2 linked regions of the Pelodiscus sinensis genome follow. The protein of the gene in region 2 interacts with the protein of the main gene of each other region in a pairwise test. Links are inferred from orthologs where the notes say so. Each region holds a gene or a part of one and is shown on either strand. Other genes may lie near its edges.

What was found. The genes of interacting proteins can lie anywhere in the genome.
Region 1: the proteins of CCDC57 (region 2) and SFI1 interact in a two-hybrid assay, tested with the Homo sapiens proteins (2 studies listed by BioGRID). The two-hybrid records come from large-scale screens. The link is inferred for Pelodiscus sinensis from reciprocal best matches to the Homo sapiens genes CCDC57 and SFI1.

The regions. Positions count from the first base shown.
Region 1 is NC_134725.1:8,272,793-8,283,470, reverse strand, and holds the start of SFI1 (protein SFI1 homolog), read left to right. Parts: upstream 1-6,303; 5' UTR 6,304-6,337; exon of another isoform or gene 6,338-6,460; intron 6,461-10,678. Other genes in the region: EIF4ENIF1 (eukaryotic translation initiation factor 4E transporter), read right to left, coding at 738-830. UniProt on the Homo sapiens protein: Plays a role in the dynamic structure of centrosome-associated contractile fibers via its interaction with CETN2.
Region 2 is NC_134730.1:30,396,866-30,406,968, forward strand, and holds the start of CCDC57 (coiled-coil domain-containing protein 57), read right to left. Parts: upstream 5,065-10,103; 5' UTR 4,935-5,064; intron 1-4,934. UniProt on the Homo sapiens protein: Pleiotropic regulator of centriole duplication, mitosis, and ciliogenesis. Critical interface between centrosome and microtubule-mediated cellular processes. Centriole duplication protein required for recruitment of CEP63, CEP152, and PLK4 to the centrosome.

The DNA.
Region 1 (10,678 bases), on a different chromosome or scaffold from region 2:
AGACAGTTGTTTGGAGAGGTGGTGTTTATACACTAGTAGATACTGTTTGTGTAAGCAGCACTGAAAATCCAGAATATTAATGTTAACAGAAGTGGACTACCATCTTCTCTAATACAGAAGAAATGAATTCGTAAGTGCATGAACCAATAAGAGTATGTCTCTGAAGCTTAAGTTTGACTGTCAATACTTGGAAAGTTTCTTCCAATTTTAAATTGGTTATTATCTTTGGTAGGACCTTAGCCTTCCCATGCTTCACAGTTGAACTTGTTCATAAGTTCTGAAACTGCACAGGCACATAAGCATAGTTTACAAGCCATGTTGGATACAGCTGTAGACATTAGAATTAAACATTCCAAAAAGACTATCCTATCCTTCCTCCTAAACTTTTCATGTTTGGCTACTTTGGAACTTGACCAGACTAGAATTTAAGACATGTTAGTACATGTGTTACTTATCATGTTTGCTGACCCATTTAAAAGTCTAGTGGAAGCCAAACATAGGTGTCACCTACATCATAGAAACACATTGATACTATATAGTGAGGTGGGGGTCCATTTAACACAGAAGTCCCTTTCTATACTAGACCTTTAAAAAGATGCCATCAATCACACCTTCAAATCTACTCTAGACTGACCTTATGAGGAAAGTAGGATACGTTTTCTTCTAAAATTTGATACTGTTTCAATCCATCTCTAAGTCTGCTTAATAAAAACACTTAAAGAAAAAAGTTAGCTTACTTTTGTGTAACGATGAGATTTTACTGTTATTCTGTCCAAGTCAAGAAAAGAGTCTCCATTTTCAACTTCTCCTATAGCCCCTCTCTTATCCATGTCTATTTGAAAGCCTTTGATTATTGACCTAATTAAAAATACAGAATTATGTTAATAAAATAGGCAGTATAATTGAAGGTTTTACGGTACACCTTCCTTACAGGTTTTGGAACACTGTCACCAACTTACAGCTAACAATCACATTCCATAACAGCTTTTGACTGATGTTTTGGTTGTTCTGTATATCTAAACCATAACTGGCAGTAAGAGAGTCTAGTTCCTAGAACAAGTGCTTTCAATTTAGCTTAGGTGCCTGAATTCCTCTGTGGTTCAAAACAGAGCTCTTAAATTGCTTCAGAGCCACAAAGATCATCATAGGGATAGAATTAGCGTACAGAAGGAAAAGCTCATGAAAGAGAAGGACTGGATAGGAAGCCCCCTTCCCTCAGGCCGGGCAGTCCTAGGCCCCTACGCAAGCTGTCTGAGAGAGTCACTTGCACCCCATTTTGCACCGTACAGGACCACAGATAAATATGCATACCATGGAACGGTCCAGGTCCCCAAACCATGGGTCGCAGAGCAGATCCCTCTGCTTCCAGCACTGTTAAAATAAATAAATAATAATAATAAGCAACAATTTTATTAACCCCCCCCCACACACATCTCCCCCCCCCCCCCATAATCATCACGGCCAATAGCAGCTCATCCACCCGGGTATTGTGTGTTCTCGGCCGCTCCCAAGCTTGCCGTGGGGAAGTGAAGAACGAGGATGGGGATGAGGGACGCCTGACGCACGGTCGCCAAGGCAGCCCCTCCCCCCCCCCCCCCATGGCTGAGAGGACCCGACTGAGCATCCCCCCAGCCCGGCCACAGGTCTGCGCGGAGGCCCAGGAAGCAGCCCGCCGAGCGCAGGTAACGCCCGGGCGGGCCCAGGGGGACTCACCGCGCGGCAGGCGAGGTCCCCTCCGCTCCTCACCACCAGGCCTTGCTGGGGACCGGCTTCTCGCCGCCCCTCCCCCCGCCCGCCACACAGGGCTCGCTCCCGCCTTCCGCGCCCGGCCGCTCGCCGGCCCCAGGCTCGCGCCGCCGCCGCTCCCCCTCTTCTTCCTCCTCCAGTTTACTCGCGCGCCCTCTCCCGATTTACCCGACTCTCGCACTCTGTCTCCTCTCGGCCACCGTAACCTGGAGTCGGCTCACCGCCCCCTTTAATAGTCACCGCGCAGGCGCGGCCCGGCGGCCCCGGCGGGGCTGCCCGCTGTGTTGCCTGACTGAAAAGCGCAGCTTTCCACGGAAGGGCGACGTCTCGCCTCCTTCAATTGAGCAACAAGAGAGAATCACGGATTTCTGTTTATAGCCCTCCCCACAGACAACGGATGGTTTTGACCGATGGCGAGGACTGCTCAGGCACTGCCAGCGGCCAGCCCTGCGATGCTGCCCATGCTGCGGGGGAGGGGCTGTGGCTAAGGGCCACGTGCACACTGATAGGGACTTGATAGGCAGCAGCGCGAGTGCTGAGCTGCTGCACAGGCGTCTTGTTTTCCTTGTTTGTAGGTGGGCTGCTTTTGGGGGGCGGGCCCAGCACAGAGCCTAGGGGCATCTTTCCTACCCACTCGAATTCTATTTAAGTCATAAGGTCATAGAGGGTCAGACCAAAGGTCCATCTAGCCCAGTGGCCAATTCCAAATGCCCCAGAGAAAAGGGAACACAACAGATAATCATCAGCTGATAGGGTTGCCAGATGGTTTCAACAAAAATACCAGATCGCTCGACATTACATCACAATCTACATTACATCTTATTTACAAAATACCGGACATTTATAGTTTCTCATTTCTATTTTCTCCATTTGTTTCCTGGACAGAAAGCTCAAATAATGGATTGTCCAGTTCAAAATCAGACACCTGACAACCCTATCATCTGATCCCTCTCCGGTCATCCATTTCCAGACAAACAGAGGCTAGGGACACCATCCCTACCCATCCTGGCTAATAACCAATGATGGACCAAAACTCTATGAATATATCTAGCTCTTTTTTGGAACCCTGTTAGACTTCACAACATCCTTTGGCAAGGGCTTCCACAGGTTGACTGTGCATTGAGTGAAGAAAAACTTCCTTTTCTTTGTTTTAAATATGCTGCCTATTAATTTCATTTAGTGACCCCTAGTTCTTAGATTGTGGGAATAAGGGCCCTGCGGCTGTGGCGGGAAGGGCGCTGCTGGCCAGTGCCATGGGCATGGGGGGGCTGGTGCTACGGGAGCCGGGTGCGCGGCGCCTGATGGCAGCTATAAGGGACGCCGCATGCCCCTTACAGCTGCCATCAGGCGCCCCCCATCAGTTGGCGCCCCGGGCAGCTGCCCAGCTCGCCCATCCCTTAGTCCAGCCCTGATCATATCGCTCCGTAATCTCCTTTTTTTAATCTCTCTTCATATGAGACTCGTTCCAAACCCCAAATAATTTTCGTTGTCCTTTTCTGAACCTTTATAGAAAATCAGCTTTCTATAAGGAAAAAAAACTTGTAATGTGAGGGGGAAAGGAGTACTGAAACAAAGACAGTGTAGATTACTAACCTATCTATGGATTTTTTTTTAATTGATTTTGTAAAATACTTTAGATACATTCATGGAGGTTAGGTCCATCAATACTTATTAACCAGAATGGGTAGGAATGGTGTCCCTAGCCTCTGTTTGTCAGGGTCTGAAAATTTAAATTGGTGATGTGAGAGGGTTCATTTGATGATTTCCTGTTCTTTTCACCCCCTCTGGGGCATCTGGCATTGGCCACTGTTGGATGAGATGGACTGGATGGACCTTTGTGTTCTTATGTCCTTTGAAATGGATTGCAAACTTATGGGCTACGTCTACACTGGCCCCTTTTCCGGAAGGGGCATGTTAATTTCAGCCATCGTAGTAGGGAAATGTGCGGGGGATTTAAATATCCCCCGCGGCATTTAAATAAAAATGTCCGCCGCTTTTTTCCGGCTTTTAGAAAAGCCGGAAAAGAGCGTCTACACTGGCCCCGATCCTCCGGAAAAAGCGCCCTTTTCCGGAGGGTCTTATTCCTACTTCAAAGTAGGCTTTTCTAAAAGCCGGAAAAAAGCGGCGGACATTTTTATTTAAATGCCGCGGGGGATATTTAAATCCCCCGCGCATTTCCCTACTACGATGGCTGAAATTAACATGCCCCTTCCGGAAAAGGGGCCAGTGTAGACGTAGACGTCTAGTTTAACTGTAGCTTTTGTAAATATCTCTGCATCCTAAGCAAGACTGCTATTTTATAATTTCTTAAAACATATTACAAAACAGGAGGTAGCCACACATTCTAGAAAGCAGCAATATACATGAAAGACTACATTTTTCTCTTTCTACAGCTATGGCAAAAAGATGATTAACATAATGCAATACTGTATCAAGATACACTGCACCCTTTTATGCTGAATTTGGACTGATTTTACAGTTTTTAGGCAGATAACATTTATTTCAATGGGAATTTTGTGTGCATAAAGGCTTCAGGACTGTACTCTTTAATATATCTTGCACTGAGAAAGCAAGTTTCAAAGCAATGTCATGAAGATTTTTACAGAAGATGGTCCAGATTAATTAAAAAGCACTTAGTGCACTTGTACCCTCTGGAGGGTTTCTGAGTGCAGTCGGAAAACCAAAACAAATCACACAGTAGTATAGAAAAGGGGTGAGGTGGAGGGCCTACTTAAATAATGTGCAGAAAGCCAAAACCCCCCCCTCCCCAAAAAACCGGAGTAGGGAGCTATGCCAGCAGTATAGAATAGTCACTACATGTTGAATGTGGGGAGACTTGCTTTTCAACACCTTCTCTGGGACCTAGTGGCAGGGAAGGTGGGATTTCCTCAATTGCCATAGTGCACAGGGCTCCAAAATTCTTTATTTGGATATTGGCAGATGGCTTCTCTCTTGGCAAAAACTCTTGGAAATTTTGCCTGTACTGAAGTATAGGAGTTCTCTGGGTTAATGAATGGACGTGACATTTTGGGTATGAAGATTAGCAAATGGTCTGAGAGAAACATTATTAGGTTTAGAAAGAAAGACCCTGTCAGATTAAGTACATGATTAGCACAGAGAGTCATTCCGAATGACCTGTCTTCTCAAAACCAGTAAGAAATAATAAATATATGAACTGAATAAATAATTAGTTTATGTTAGTGTAACAGTTTTCAATCCCAAAGTCCTTAGAAAAGGAGTTGGCAACCTTTCAGAAGTGGCATGCCAGGATTGAACATAATCACTTCTATTTATGGATCTGTGTGCCAATGAAATTTTCTAAAAGTCAATAATAATCCTACTTACATTTTAGCAGCTTCATTAATAAATCAATAAAGATGCAGATCTTACCATTTAGTATGATCCTGAGGGAGAGTAGATAGGAGAATGGTGCTGGTGAGTGTCTGGCCAGGGGAGAGGGGTCAGGCACAGGATGCTCGTAGGTGTCTGTCCAGGAAAGGGGACAGGAGCAGGTTGGCTGGTACCTGCTGGTCTCCAGGAACAGAAGCCCTGGGCAGGATCTGCAGGCAGCGCTGGAAGAAGCACATGTACCGCTCCTAGTCCCCAAAGCCCAGACCTCCTTCAGCATTTTAGCTGACTTCCACCGCTGCATGCTCAATGTGCATCACCACTACATCCAGCTTTGGAGATGGCTGAGCCGGTGACACTATGCTGGGTGACCATAATGTGATCAGTGATTGATTGGCCTGACATCTTCTGTCCCATTGTCCCCCCTCACTCAGCTGGGCTGTTCTCTTCCCACACCCCCACACTGGCGAGAGATTGGACTCTGACACCTGCCAGGAACTGACCCTCCCACCCTGAGAGTGCTTACGGCCACTGCTGTGTGCTAGCTGGAAGGGGTTGGCCCCCACAGGAAGCTGGTACTGATTCCAATCTTGTGGGAGCTAGATGCTGGATCACAAGCACAGGCTCCCCATTGTGGGGTTGGGGAAGGGGGGGAACAGCGAAGGGTGGGAGAGCTGAGCTTGATCCGCAAGCCATTAGGCTTTCTTTGCATGTGCCACTCAAAATCATCTTGTGTACCACACCCTACTTCTGCCCTAGATCATCTTAGTCATGTGTGCTCTCTTCCCAGCTCTGATTCTATTGGCTAGCTCTGCAGAGGTGCTGTAAGGATCAGTTTATCTGGTGCTGGAAGGGCAGAATGCTATTGCAAGCTCTGCTTGCATGTACCACTGCTAACCTGCTGCTAGTTTGGGGCTGGAGTTGGGACATGCTCGGGTGTTCCCAGAGACTGGGCCATTCATGGGCTTGTCTGAGGTTACTCAGAACAGGAGCTGGGTGTTCAGATCACGTCCTTTGCCCAGGGGCTGCCGGGCCTTCTGGTTCACAATAGCCAATAGCCACGTGGGAGCAGCAGGCCAGGGGACGCGACGGGACTTGTGCGCGAGCTCCTCCCAGGCGCTAGAGGTCGCTGTAACGTAGGCGTCGGCTCAGAGGCGAGGGCTGGGCGCCCGCTGCTGCCCTGGTCTCCATGGTGATAGGGGCGGGGCGCTCGCGGGCGGCGCGGGAAGAGCCGCTCGCTGGGGTTGGTCCCGGGTCGGCGCCGCTCGGCGGCGGGAGCGATGAAGAGCCCCCCGGGGGCGGGCTCGCCGGTTCCACAGACGGGGGGGCGCTAGGGCGGGGGCGCTTTGCCCCCCTGCCCGGTCCTGTGAGTGGGCGGCGCTAGGGCGGTGTGGTGCCTCGGGCCGTGTGTGTGTGTGTGTGTGTGTGTGTGTGTGTGTGTGTGGGAGGGGGGTGCCGTGTGTGTGTGTGTGTGGGGGGGTGCCGTGTGGCACCTCGGGGTGTGTGTGTGTGGGGGGGGTGCCGTGTGGCACCTCGGGGTGTGTGTGTATGGGGGGGTGCCGTGTGGCACCTCGGGGTGTGTGTGTGTGTGGGGGGGGTGCCGTGTGGCACCTCGGGGTGTGTGTGTGTGTGGGGGGGTGCCGTGTGGCACCTCGGGGTGTGTGTGTATGGGGGGGTGCCGTGTGGCACCTCGGGGTGTGTGTGTGTGTGTGGGGGGGTGCCGTGTGGCACCTCGGGGTGTGTGTGTGTGTGGGGGGGGTGCCGTGTGGCACCTCGGGGTGTGTGTGTGTGTGGGGGGGTGCCGTGTGGCACCTCGGGGTGTGTGTGTGTGTGGGGGGGGTGCCGTGTGGCACCTCGGGGTGTGTGTGTGGGGGGGGGTGCCGTGTGGCACCTCGGGGTGTGTGTGTGGGGGGGGGTGCCGTGTGGCACCTCGGGGTGTGTGTGTGTGGGGGGGTGCCGTGTGGCACCTCGGGGTGTGTGTGTGGGGGGGGGTGCCGTGTGGCACCTCGGGGTGTGTGTGTGTGGGGGAGGTGCCGTGTGGCACCTCGGGGTGTGTGTGTGGGGGGGGTGCCGTGTGGCACCTCGGGGTGTGTGTGTATGGGGGGGGGTGCCGTGTGGCACCTCGGGGTGTGTGTGTGTGTGGGGGGGGGTGCCGTGTGGCACCTCGGGGAGTGTGTGTGTGTGGGGGGGGGTGCCGTGTGGCACCTCGGGGTGTGTGTGTGTGTGTGGGGGTGCCGTGTGGCACCTCGGGGTGTGTGTGTGTGGGGGGGGTGCCGTGTGGCACCTCGGGGTGTGTGTGTGTGGGGGGGGTGCCGTGTGGCACCTCGGGGTGTGTGTGTGTGTGTGGGGGGGTGCCGTGTGGCACCTCGGGGTGTGTGTGTGTGTGTGGGGGGGTGCCGTGTGGCACCTCGGGGTGTGTGTGTGTGTGTGTGGGGGTGCCGTGTGGCACCTCGGGGTGTGTGTGTGTGGGGGGGGGTGCCGTGTGGCACCTCGGGGGGTGTGTGTGTGTGCGGGGGGGGTGCCGTGTGGCACCTCGGGGGGTGTGTGTGTGGGGGGGGGTGCCGTGTGGCACCTCGGGGGGTGTGTGTGTGTGGGGGGGTGCCGTGTGGCACCTCGGGGGAGTGTGTGTGTGGGGGGGGTGCCGTGTGGCACCTCGGGGGAGTGTGTGTGTGTGGGGGGGTGCCGTGTGGCACCTCGGGGAGTGTGTGTGTGTGGGGGGGTGCCGTGTGGCACCTCGGGGAGTGTATGTGTGTGGGAGGGTGCCGTGTGGCACCTCGGGGAGTGTGTGTGTGTGGGGGGGTGCCGTGTGGCACCTCGGGGAGTGTTTGTGTGTGTGGGGTGCCGTGTGGCACCTCGGGGTGTGTGTGTGTGTGGGGGTGCCGTGTGGCACCTCGGGGTGTGTGTGTGTGTGGGGGTGCCGTGTGGCACCTCGGGGGGGGGTGTGTGTGTTGGTGCTGTGTGTGTGTGGAGGTGCCGTGTGGCACCTCGGGGGGTGTGTGTGTATGTGGGGGGGAGGTGCCGTGTGTGTGTGGGGGAGGTGCTGTGTGGCACCTCGGGGTGTGTGTGTGTGTGGGGGGGGTGCCGTGTGTGTGTGGGGGAGGTGCTGTGTGGCACCTCGGGGTGTGTGTGTGTGTGGGGGGGGTGCCGTGTGGCACCTCGGGGTGTGTGTGTGTGTGGGGGTGCCGTGTGGCACCTCGGGGGGTGTGTGTGTGTGTGTGTTGGGGGGGAGGTGCCGTGTGGCACCTCGGGGTGTGTGTGTGTGTGGGGGGGGGTGCCGTGTGGCACCTCGGGGTGTGTGTGTGTGTGGGAGGGGGTGCCGTGTGGCACCTCGGGGTGTGTGTGTTGCCTTTTTCAAAAACTGTTTGCATGGTATAAAAACATTAGATTTGTATTTACCATTTATAGCCCTTTAAATGGGGAAAGCACAAACACCATAGAGACTAGCAGAATACAAATGTCCACATAGGTTACTGGATAGGTTGCTACTGTTATCTTACAGCCAGGGCCTCAAATATGATTACTTAATTGTGTTTATTACAAGGGCTTAGAGCATTACTATGTAGTTCTATAGTACAGGACTATGTAGCACTTTAAAGACTAACGAGATGGTTTATTAGATGATGAGCTTTCGTGGGCCAGACACACTTCCTCAGATCAAATAGTGGAAGAAAATAGTCACAACCATATATACCAAAGGATACAATTAAAAAAAAGAATACATATGAAAAGGACAAATCAAATTTCAGAACAGAAGGAGGATGTGGGGCGGAGGGGGGAAGGTAAATGTCTGTGAGCTAATGATATTAGAGGTGATAATTGGGGAAGCTATCTTTGTAATGGGTAAGATAACTAGAGTCTTTAAGACCCCGGCGTAAAGTCGATTTTTAGCATGAATAACAGTTCAGAGGATTCCCTTTCAAGTGCAGTTTTAAAAGGCTTTTGAAGCAGGATGCAGGTAATTAAGTCGTTGAGCTAATATCATTAGCTCACAGATATTTACCTCCCCCCCACCCCTCCGCATCCCCCTTCTGTTCTGAAATTTGATTTCTTTTTCATATGTGTTCTTTTTTTTTATTGTATCACTTTGGTATAGATGGTTGTGACTATTTTCTTCCACTATTTGATCTGAGGAAGTGGGTCTGGCCCACGAAAGCTCATCACCTAATAAACCATCTTGTTAGTCTTTAAAGTGGTACATAGTCCTGTATTTTGTTTCAGCTACCTTAGACTAACATGGCTACATTTCTATCATAGTTCTAGAGAGTGTGCGCGCGTGCGTGTATATGCATAGTCTGGCTGTTGAGGCTAGGAGTCCTTTTGTATTGAGGTCATTACAGAAACAAGGGGGCTAGTTGTTTTTGATATTCTGTTTTCTTCATTTGTGTTTGAGGCAGTTTCATCTAATTTCTGATACCTTCTATCTTGAGTCATAACTAGTATATCCTAATACCAGGACCTAGGTTCATATAAATACCAGGATTTGGTTATTCAGCAGCAGTTCTATTTATAGTGATAGAAATGTAGCCGTGTTAGTCTGGTGTAGCTGAAACAAAATACAGGACTATGTAGCACTTTAAAGACTAACAAGATGGTTTATTAGATGATAGATTAGTTCTATTTAGACGTTCTTTGTTGTCTGAAGAGTTAAGTAATCTTGACTAATATTATCATTGGGGTGACCCAGTGTTTCATGATAACTCTTGATTGTCATGGAGTTTATGAACTTAGCCAAGACTGTTCTCTGAGTGGAAATTTGAAATAAAAAGTCACAATCTGGAAGGTATTTTTCAGTTAATCAAAACTGGACAAAATTAGCCTCGAAAAAGTACAAGCAAAAGCAAGCAAACTTAAACAAAAAAAACTATTCTAAGGATGCAAAAAAAAAAAACCCCTAAATTTTCCAAACTAATAGTCTACAAAAATGTATTTTGCTCCGCTTAATTTAAGAAAGTATTTTTTTTCAAAGAGCGATAAGTACAGGCAGTATTATTTGTCTGGCATGATTTGATCATTCTTTAAAGAACAAATCCAAAGGCTCCTTGACTTTAATCACCAGAAAAGCAGAATAATCCTCTATAAATTCACTGTCTTGAGGAATGCAGCTTATTATAAAGAAAACAAATAAGACTTGTGTACTTTATTGGTCTTTATCAAAATGTCATGTCATCCCTATCAGCCAATCACATTGCTCTTTTTGTATTAGTTACCGATCTTTTTTTATGTTTCATATTCTTTTCCATATGTGCAATCAACAAAATACATATGGGCCAGGATCACTAAAAATTCTGAGTTGAATTATTTGACTAAACCTGTCTGTTGAGCACATTGATGTTAGGACCATATTGTGATATGGCAGTGGTCCCCAATGTGGTGCCCACAGGTGCCATGGCGCCCTCTGGGTCATTTATGTACACCTGCCTAGTGACCAGGGCCAGCCCGAGCCATTCATGCCCCCCGCCCCTGGGTGCGCGGCGCATGTGCGGCCCCCGCCCCTCGGCGCGCGGCGCCTGCGTGGCCCCTGGGCGCATGGCGCCCAGCAGCACCAAAAGGACTACAGTGATATAGACACTTATTTAACTAGGTC
Region 2 (10,103 bases):
GGTAAGTGCTTCTCTTCCCCAAAACCTCTGCCATGCAGACTATTGCTAGGATCCAGACTATATAGCTACACGAGACCACTTAGACTGAGAGATGCTCATTTGCCAAACAAACATCTCTCTCATTTCGCACTAATCCAATGACTGCAATTACTAAAAATATTGCAATGCCTATAAAAGGACAGATGGCAGCTGCCTCAGACCAACCTGGACAAGGCCAAATGATGCTGGCTAAAAGAGGAGAGAGCACTTAGAACAACTAACTAGAATTCTGTCTACAGCTCCCTTTTTTCAGAATGGGGTCCTGTTTGAATCGCTTAAATTTTTCTCAATAGGTATCACTTGTGGCTAAAAGCAGGATTTTTCAGATCCAGAGTGCAACCCTTATCTCTTCCTCCCAGATGAGAAGCTGGCCACAGTGATCAATGCATCTGTCACATCCAAGACTAGATTATTGTATTTCAGTGTATTTGAAGCAGGATGTGAAAACAATACAAAACTCAAGAATAACTGTGAATTCTCTATTGTTTATGTGTTCATGAGCACATAGAGATTTTATTTCAGTCCCTCTGGTACCCCATTCATTTCTACTACCAGTTTAAGGGCTTGATCTCAAATTCAAAACCATGAGTTAAATCCCAGCTACATGCATTTCAATCTATGAACTGAAACAGATGCCTTTCTCTGCGTCAACACGTACCACAAAACAAAACACGTAAGAGCCAAGGATGAGGTATTCTCAGGTGAGAGAATCCAGGATCCAGCTATGGACCTGAGATTATGTTAATCCAAACTCTAATGCTTTTATGAAATACTACAAAAACTAATAGATTACTTCAGGGAACTCCGATGTGAGCTGAAGAAGACTGTCCAAGCAATCTTCTTTGAGATTCCTCCTGTCCCACAAGTAAAGGAAGGCAGAAGATTCTGGAAGTGAATGACAAGCAAGAAAAGTGGTATAAAACAGATATTTTCTGGAATATGGATCCTATTTTTCTGGAAGGAAGGGGTTATGTAGTTTGACTGGCCTCCAACTCAGTAAAAGGGAGAGCCATCTCCTTGGGGCCAGGCGAGTAGACAGGAAAGGATTAAACAAAGGGGGAAGGTAAAAAGAGGGAAGAAATGGGCACTCTGCACAAAATCAATATGTTGAGAATGAAATTAATCAAGAAATCAAAGAACATGAAAAGAAAAAACTCTTTAATAATCTATACACTAAAGCTACTAGACTGGTTAACATACAAGAGGAACTGAAATTCCTGATCTGTGAGCATAAATTCAATCTCATTGATATTACTGAAACCAGGTGAGATGATTCACACTGGAATGTTAAAGTCAATGTTATAATGTATTTTGGAAGGATCAAGTAGGCATAAGGAGAAGGAGAGTGGCACTCAACATACAAAAATATTACATATTTCCAAAAACAAAAGGAAAAACTATGTAGCACTTTAAAGACTAACAAGATGGTTTAATAGGTGATGAGCTTTCATGGGCCAGACCCACTTCCTCAGATAATATTCTGGAAGAGAACTGGCATGACCATATATACCAAAGGAATACAATGAAAAAAGTGAACACATTATTAAACTGACAAATCAGATTTAGTACAGAAGATAGAGTGAGGGGGAGGGAGGGAGGAAATCGCTATTTGAGTCAATGAATAGCTAATCAGGGGTGAACTGATCAAATTTTATTTGCATATTCATTTTGCAAATGATGAACCTGCAAATAAAATGTTGCCCGTCTGCCAAAAGCCCAGCCTCCAGAGCCCCCAGTCCCAGCCCTAATCCCTAGAACCACTCACCCCTCCACTATCCCCCAGTGCCAGCCATTGACCCTAGAGTCCCCTGCACACAAGCCCCTCAGTGCCAGCCTCCTGCCCTCAGAGCCCCCCCACTAGCCAGCCCCCCCATCCCAAATACTTCTGTGCCAGTCCCCCATCCCTTAGAGACCACCTACACCAAACCCCCCAGTACCAGCCTACCATTTCCAGAGCCCCACTGCACCCAACCTCCCACAGAGCCTCCCCAATGCTTGCCCCCCAATATTAGCCCCATCCCCAGAGCCCCCCAGTGCCAGCCCTGCCCCTCCACTACTAGCTCAGCCTGCAGAGCCCCCCAGCACTAACCCCACCCCTAGAGCCCTCAGTGCCTGCCTCGCCGCCCTCACCTAGCTATGCACTGCTGCCTGTGTCCCAGCAGCTCTGGGGGCTGGGACTGAGGTACACCATCCAGTGCTGCCCTTCCGACTGTGGCTGTTGGGAGAGGTCTGTCCTGCCCCGCCTCTCAGGCAACCAGCACCAGGCAGGGGCGGGGTCTCCTCTGACTTCAGAAGAGTGCTTCCCTGCATGGCAGGAGGGTCACATGGAGCGGGGCCTCCTCCCGGCCACAGAAGAGTGCGCTCTTCCTTGGCTGGGAGGAAACCCCGCCCCTGCCCAGCACTGGCTCGCTGAGAGGCAGGGCAGGACATGCCTCTTCCAACAGCCACAACAAGAGCAGTGTTCTTCAGCCCTGGCCCCCAGAGCCACCATGGCCTGACAACCAGAAGCCTGCAGCCAGGCAGAGGGCCGCAGCCTGGCGGTTGGGAGCCACTGCTGTAAGCATGCGGGATAGTGAGAGGGGATAGTGTCAGCAGATGCCTCCATCTGGCCATGGCAGCCTGGCTCCAGCCCCCCTCTGTCTCCTGTGGTCTGTCCCCAGCCGCCGTGCTCCTGAGGCAGATCCCATGGCCCAGCTGCAAGAGTCCAGTCATGGTGGCTTTGGTTGGTCTATCTAACCTGTTCTTAAATATCTCCAGTGACAGAGATTCCACAAACCCCTTAGGCAATTTATTCTAGTGTTTCACCACCCTGGCAAGTAGGAGGTCTTTCCTAAGGTCCAACCTAAACCTCCCTTGCTGCAGTTTAAGTCCATTGCTTATAGTCCTATCCTCAGAGGCCAAGGAGAGTAATTTTCCCTCCTCCTTGTAATACCCTTTTTGATACTTGAAAACCGCTATCATGTCCCCTCTCAGTCTTCTCTTTTCCAACTAAAGAAGCCCGATTCTTTCACTTTTCCCTCATAGCTCATGTTTTCTAGACCAGGGAGGCCAACCCATTAAACGAAGACAGCCGAAACACTGCCACCATCTTGCCACACTGAACAGCTCCTTTGCACCTGGTGAGCAGAGACCCCAGGGCTGTTTCTAGGGGCGCTTTGCGAGCCACGGTGGAGGGAGCTTCGCGAGCCGCACTTTCAGGGGTGAAGAGCCGCATGCATCTCACGGGTTGGCCACCCCCGTTCTAGACCTTTAATCATTCTTGTTGCTCTTCTCTGGACCTTCTCCAGTTTCTCCACATCTTTCTTGAAATGTGGTGCCCAGAACTGGACACAGTACTCCAACTGGAGCCTAACCAGCGCAGAGCAGAGCGGAAGAATGACTCCTCGGGTCTTGCTCACAACACTCCTGTTTAGTTCCAAGGGGAGGATGGGACGGGAGGGCTGGGCCTCCCCCCCTTCGATAAGGGGAGACACGGCACGGGGTCTGGGCACCCCAGCTAAATGGGGGTGGGATAAGACATGGGAGGGGCGCCCCAGCTAAATGGAGGTGGGGCAGGACACGGGGGTGGGTGCCCCGGTTAAACAGAGGTGGGATAAGAAACGGGGGGAACGCCCCGGTTAAATAGGGGTGGGGCAGGACACAGGGGGCGCCCCGGTTAAATGGGGGTGGGATAAGAAACAGAGGGCGCCCCGGTTAAATGGGGGTGGGATAAGAAACGGGGAGTGCCCCGGTTAAATGGGGGTGGAGCAGGACACAGGGGGGCACCCTGGTTAAATGTGGGTGGGGCAGGACACAGGGGAGCGCCCTGGTTAAATGGGGGTGAGATAAGATTAAATAGGGGTGGGATAAGAAAGGGGGGCGCCCCGGTTCAATAGGGGTTGGGCAGGACACAGGGGGCACTCCGGTTAAATGGGGGTAGAATAAAAACGGGGGGCGACCTGATTAAATAGGGGTGGGCAGGACGCGGGGGGGGAGCCCCGGTTAAATAGGGGCGGGGCAGGACGCGGGGGGGGAGGAGCCCCAGTTAAATAGGGGTTGGGCAGGACACAGGGGGCACTCCGGTTAAATGGGGGTAGAATAAGAAACGGGGGGCGACCTGATTAAATAGGGGTGGGCAGGACGCGGGGGGGGAGCCCCGGTTAAATAGGGGCGGGGCAGGACGCGGGGGGGGAGGAGCCCCAGTTAAATAGGGGTTGGGCAGGACACAGGGGGCACTCCGGTTAAATGGGGGTAGAATAAGAAACGGGGGGCGACCTGATTAAATAGGGGTGGGCAGGACGCGGGGGGGGAGCCCCGGTTAAATAGGGGCGGGGCAGGACGCGGGGGGGGAGGAGCCCCAGTTAAATAGGGGTTGGGCAGGACACAGGGGGCACTCCGGTTAAATGGGGGTAGAATAAGAAACGGGGGGCGACCCGATTAAATAGGGGTCGGCAGGACGCGGGGGGGAGCCCCGGTTAAATAGGGGCGGGGCAGGACGCGGGGGGGGAGGAGCCCCGGTTAAATAGGGGTTGGGCAGGACACAGGGGGCACTCCGGTTAAATGGGGCTAGAATAAGAAACGGGGGGCGACCCGATTAAATAGGGGTCGGCAGGACGCGGGGGGGAGCCCCGGTTAAATAGGGGCGGGGCAGGACGCGGGGGGGAGCCCCGGTTAAATAGGGGTGGGATAAGAAACGGGGGGCGCCCCGGTTAAATGGGGGCGAGTCAGGACGCGGGGGGGCGCCCCGGTTAAATAGGGGCGGGGCAGGACGCGGGGGGGGGGGGCGCGCCCCAGATCAATGGGGGCGGGGGAGGACGCGGGGGGGGGAGGTGGCGCCCCGGTTCAATGGAGGGGCAGGACGCGGGGGGGGTGCCCCGGTTCAATGGAGGGGCAGGACGCGGGGGCGGGTAACTCACCGGTTGCTCTGACAGGCGGCAGCGGGTCCTCGCGGAGCAGGCCCCGTCTCCATGGGAACGCTCCGGGAACGCGCCGCCGCGCAGCGCCCGGGCTCCCAGCCCCTTCAAGAGCGCTGAGCCCCAACGCGCAGCCTCGCAGAGACCGGACCCGCTTCTGCACCAGGCCGCCGCCTGCAGCCAGCACCGAAACTGCCTCCCTCAGCCAGAAACTCAGGCAGGCGGGGAGGGGTGCGGGCTCTGCATGTTCCTGGCACCATCCTCCCGCTCCTGGGTGTGCAGGACTCCTTAGACCTACCAAGCAATCAGGCTTGTGTCTAGCCAATAGAGGTGAGTGCATGATGCAGGAATAGGGGTTTTGTTAAGGAGATTTTGCTAGGAAAGCATAATTTAAAGTTATTCTTAATATATCCAAAAACCAAAATAAGATCTGAACTCATCCTCTTCCTCCTCCTGTAATCGATTAACTGTCAGTGAGATGGAAGAAGCAAGATGTGAAGCATCATCCACTTTAGTGACTCATCTATCTGGCAATTATGTGGTTAATTCACTGACATGTTTGTTCACTGATGATTTATCTCAAGTTTCCAGGTTACACAAACTGTCCTGCCAGACTAAAGAGAATTCATGCTTCCTTTTTCCAACCAGAATCTCATAGAAATTAGCACTGTCTGTAATAGAGGTATATTGGATCTTAAAACAAAAAAAATAAAAAAGTTGTTACATTGTTACTGATGCAGGCATATTTCTTATTTGGATCATAAAATAAATACTTTAAAGACTAACAATACAATGTTCAACCCATCACTAAGGGACTTACAGCCACCGAGATTTTTCCATTAATAATTGTTATAATTATTCAGTGCTGAGTTATTTGCCAGCTATTTAATTTGACTAATATATATAAGTTGACACCTTTCTGAACTCAAGAACAGGATTTGTCTCAAACCTTAAAAAAAAGGCTCTGGTCCAAAACCAACCTGGGACTCTTTTAGCCCTAAAAGAAAACTTTTCAGAAAGTTCTAAGCATGTGAAAGTTTGAGATACCAGATATAATGAGATACCAACACAATCTTTAGTAAATAGTAGTCCTACCTAAGCATCCACCATTGTAACAAAATGCACATAGTACAACTGTACGCCATGGCTATGTCTACACGACAGAAAAACATCCAGGGAACGCATCCGCTTTTTCAGAACAGTTTCTGAAAAACTGTGTGCATTCTTTCAGAAGCCCTGTATTCCTCATTTTATGAGAAATAAGGGATCTTCCAAAAGAGGAGGTTTTTCCCACATTTGGCCCCGTGTAGATGGGCCAAATGTCGGAAAAGCCTCTTCCGGAAAAAAAAGCAGAAAAAACGCAGTGTAGACCTAGCCTAAGTGCTGGTCCACACAACAATATAGTGCATGGCAAGCTGAAGTGTACAGTGTTCGAGTTCACTACCTACTAGCTGTGGACTCAGTTCCTGTGAACATTCTTTAGCGTGCTTTGACTTTAAGGGTGTGTCTAGACTACAGGGTTTTTTTTAAAAAGTGGCCTTTTTTCGAAAAAACTTCCCCTGCTTCTAGACTGCTGCCACGTTCTTTCGAAAGTAAATTGAAAGAATGCGGCAGTTCTTTCGACCATGAAAAACCTCGTTTTATGATGAATAACGCCTTTTTTTGAAAGTGCTCTTTTGAAAAAAGGCTCTATGTAATACAAACTGCTTTTTTGAAAGAGAGCATCCAGACTGCCTGGGTGCTCTCTTTCAAAAAAGCGGCTTGCTTTTTCAATAGTACTGGTCGTAGTCTAGATGCTCTTTTTCTAAAGAGGCTTTTTCTAAAGTATCTTTCGAAAAACCCTCTTTCGAAAGAGGATTGCAGTCTAGACGTAGCCTAGACTGTACACAGTAACAGGGTCCACATGGCAACTTAATACAAAGCAGATTAGTGCACTGTAGATTTACACTCCAGCTTTCTTTATACTAATTCTGTGGACAAACTCTAAGGCCCAGGTCCTCAAAGGCAGCACTCAAGTCCATATTTCACAATAACTACAGGTGTATGAAGTCATGCCTTTATGACATAGCTGGATGATGGTGTTGAAGCCAGAAGAAAGGGAATAGTGCCCTTATCTATGAATCCCTAGCTGTCCCCTCTCTTCTGGAGCAAGGTAGACCTACCAGATACAGCTGGGAAGGCAGAGTCCCAAAGATCAGTCTTTTCTTTGTGGCTCTAGGTGCTCCATGGCTCTCCCAGCCTAGACTGTGTGTCAGAGGAGCCTACCAGGCAGGCAGTCTCTCAGATTGAGAAAGACAAAATGGAGTCTGGGATCCTCTGCCACAGAGAGCAACTCACAAACTGCACCATCTTCTGCTGCTGCACCTGTAACCTGACAGCAGTAATCAGCTCCACCCAAGAGAGGTGTTGGCCAGCAAGCTAGAAACCTAAGCATGAGTCCTGTTACTGGACCAATGGACCATAGTAGTGGACTAAAGGTACAGTTGCCCTGAACTGTTTAATCAAACAGACAATGAATCAGCAATCCTCTCTTGCAACAAATTCAGAAGTACTGCATCACTGGTGACATCATCACCTACAACTCTAAAGCTACATTTCCTGATTTTGCAAGTGTATGAAATCTTTTTTCCTTTTAGTGGTTGCCACAGTTCAGGGCAACTGTGGCTGTATTACTCCACTGCGTTCAGCAAATGCACCTGTGCTTATGTTTCTGTTTCCCTGGCCATCACATATTTGAGTTGGAGATTGATGCCTCTGTCTGTCTTTTGATCAGGGTTTTTCTAAGATGCACTGTTTCCTGTCTACATTGAATTCCCCAGCAAGACAAACTGTCTCAGGAGCCCTGCTTTGCTTTTCTCAAGCTATAAAGAGCATAGATTGTCTCAGTTCTTTTTAAGCAAGCACATTTTTAAGGTGAAAGTATTACCTGGATATTACAAACAATAAATGAAAGTATGCTCATGCCAGAGATCACCCAAATGCGAAAAAGATCAAACAGATAAAAAGCACTTCAAACTCGCTAGGCAGTTGTTCTGCTCTTACAAGTTCATGACAAACACACCTATGAATCTGGAAATCACTTCTTTATATAATTTGGGGCTGTGATCTGAACTCAATTAACAGGTGATCAGCACACAAAATATCCCCTCTTCAGGCTAAAAGTACAACCAGAGGAATTATATTCATTTACACTTCCCCCTAGATATTTCCTGGAAAACCCACTTCACTTTTAAAGGTTCATGTTGTTTCAAGTTGTCCTTTCAAGCGCACAGTGCGTCAAGGTTTATGTTAGTCAGGTCTCCTCCATATACTTATTACATATAATCCCATTAAACTACAGAAACATTTGTATTTTTAATACACTGAACTCCTAAGATTCTTAAACATAATTCAATAAGATTTATAACACATGGGCAGTGAGTGACCCCATGTCTTGGGGAGGCAAGCCCTGCAGCCCTGTCCCTTCCACCTGAGGCCCCATCTCCTCTATGCCCACCATGGCCCAGCCTTCCCTCACTGCTGGCCTCTGCCCAGTCCCCTCCATGGGGCAGGTGGCTCTTGCCATCGGCTCTAGGGTAATGCCCCCAGCCCAGGATTATGTAGCCCCAGCCTGCGCTGGCCTTCGAATGCCAGCAGGCATCACAACTGCAGTCTCCCCTGGCTAGAGAGATTCAAAGAACGTCTCCAGAGATGGAGGTGGGTGGTGTGACCACAACCTACCCCAGCCAAAGCTCAGGGGAACAGCGGGCAGCATAGCTGTAGCCTGCCCCAATCCTGGAGCTGCAGAGAGCTGGTTGATGGCATGGCTGCAGCTTCCTCTGGCCCCAGGCTTCCAGCAGGCACCATGGCTCCAGCCTCCCCCTACCGCAAGGTACCAGAGACAAGAGCTGGGAGGCACAGCCCCAGCCTGCCTGTTCCATGCCTACTATATGGTCTCCAAAAATGCCCCAGAACCAGGAAGTCACCCCCACCAGCGAAGTCACTAGCCCCAGCATGGGGAAGGCAGGTGACACTGCAGGTCCCAGCCTCTGTCACTGCAAGAGCAAATGGGAAGGAGCCTGGGGGACTCTGGTGGACCATGGGTAGAGCCAGGTGAGGCAGTTTGAGAAGGCATTGCCCTCCCCTGCCTATGATGCCCTCCACCCATGTTTATACAGGCTATTGCAGCAAGTTGCCGTATCTGCCACAGTAGTAATGGGTAGGAGTTAACAGATAGACAGATTCTCTATTCTAATTGAGGTATGCTCAGTGCAACAAGAGAGTAACAGGGCAAAAGTGACTTAAAGCCATCTTTCTGGCATCTGTTTTTGAGGCCTAGCCCCTGATGTGAGTTAGAATACAAGATGATAAACTCCACAAATAGTTTCGCAATGGAGAGGGAGTTGGCTACTGTTTGTAAATATTACATTTTAAGCACTTAAATGCAAAACCATTATTTTAATACTACACTGAAATGTAATTGAAAAAGTAATATATGCAGAAGTACTGTTCTCACAGCTGTATTTTTGCCATAATATGCATAATAATATGGCTTTTCATTATATGATCATAGAAACCTGATGAATATAATTCCATATTAGTAACTAATGCTATACAATATTGGTGAGCAACCTACGTCATATGGGCTGCATGCGGCCAACTGGGGCTCCACCTGTAGTCCACTGACCCCCTGGCTGCCCTCTTCCCCCACAAGCTTCTGGTCCACTGGAGCACCAGAGCCCATATTTCCTCTTCCTCCCACTCCTTCCCAACATTCTCAGAGGAGACATGAATCACCTTATTCACCCTCCATTTCTGCTCCCCCTCCACCCTTCCAGAGCTGGAATGCTGCAAATCAGCTGTATGCAGCATTCCAGCTCTGGGACTGAGGGGGAAGAGCAGGTACTGAGAGCAAATTAGGCAATTTGCAGCTCCTCTGAAAGTACTGGAAGGGAGGGGGAGGAGCAGGTAAGTCTGAGGCTCCTGTGCCCCAGTGTGGGAGAGGCACATGGAGGAGTCCAGTAAGGCCGCATGTGGACCCCCAATGAGCTGTGGGCTGCGGCCCACTGAGGTGAAGGAGAGTCATTTATGTTGCCCACTCCCTTTCTAGAGCTTCAGAGGGGTAGTCAAGTTAGTCTGTAACTGGAAAAACTTAAAAAACAACAAATAGCCTAGCAGCACCTTAAAAAACTA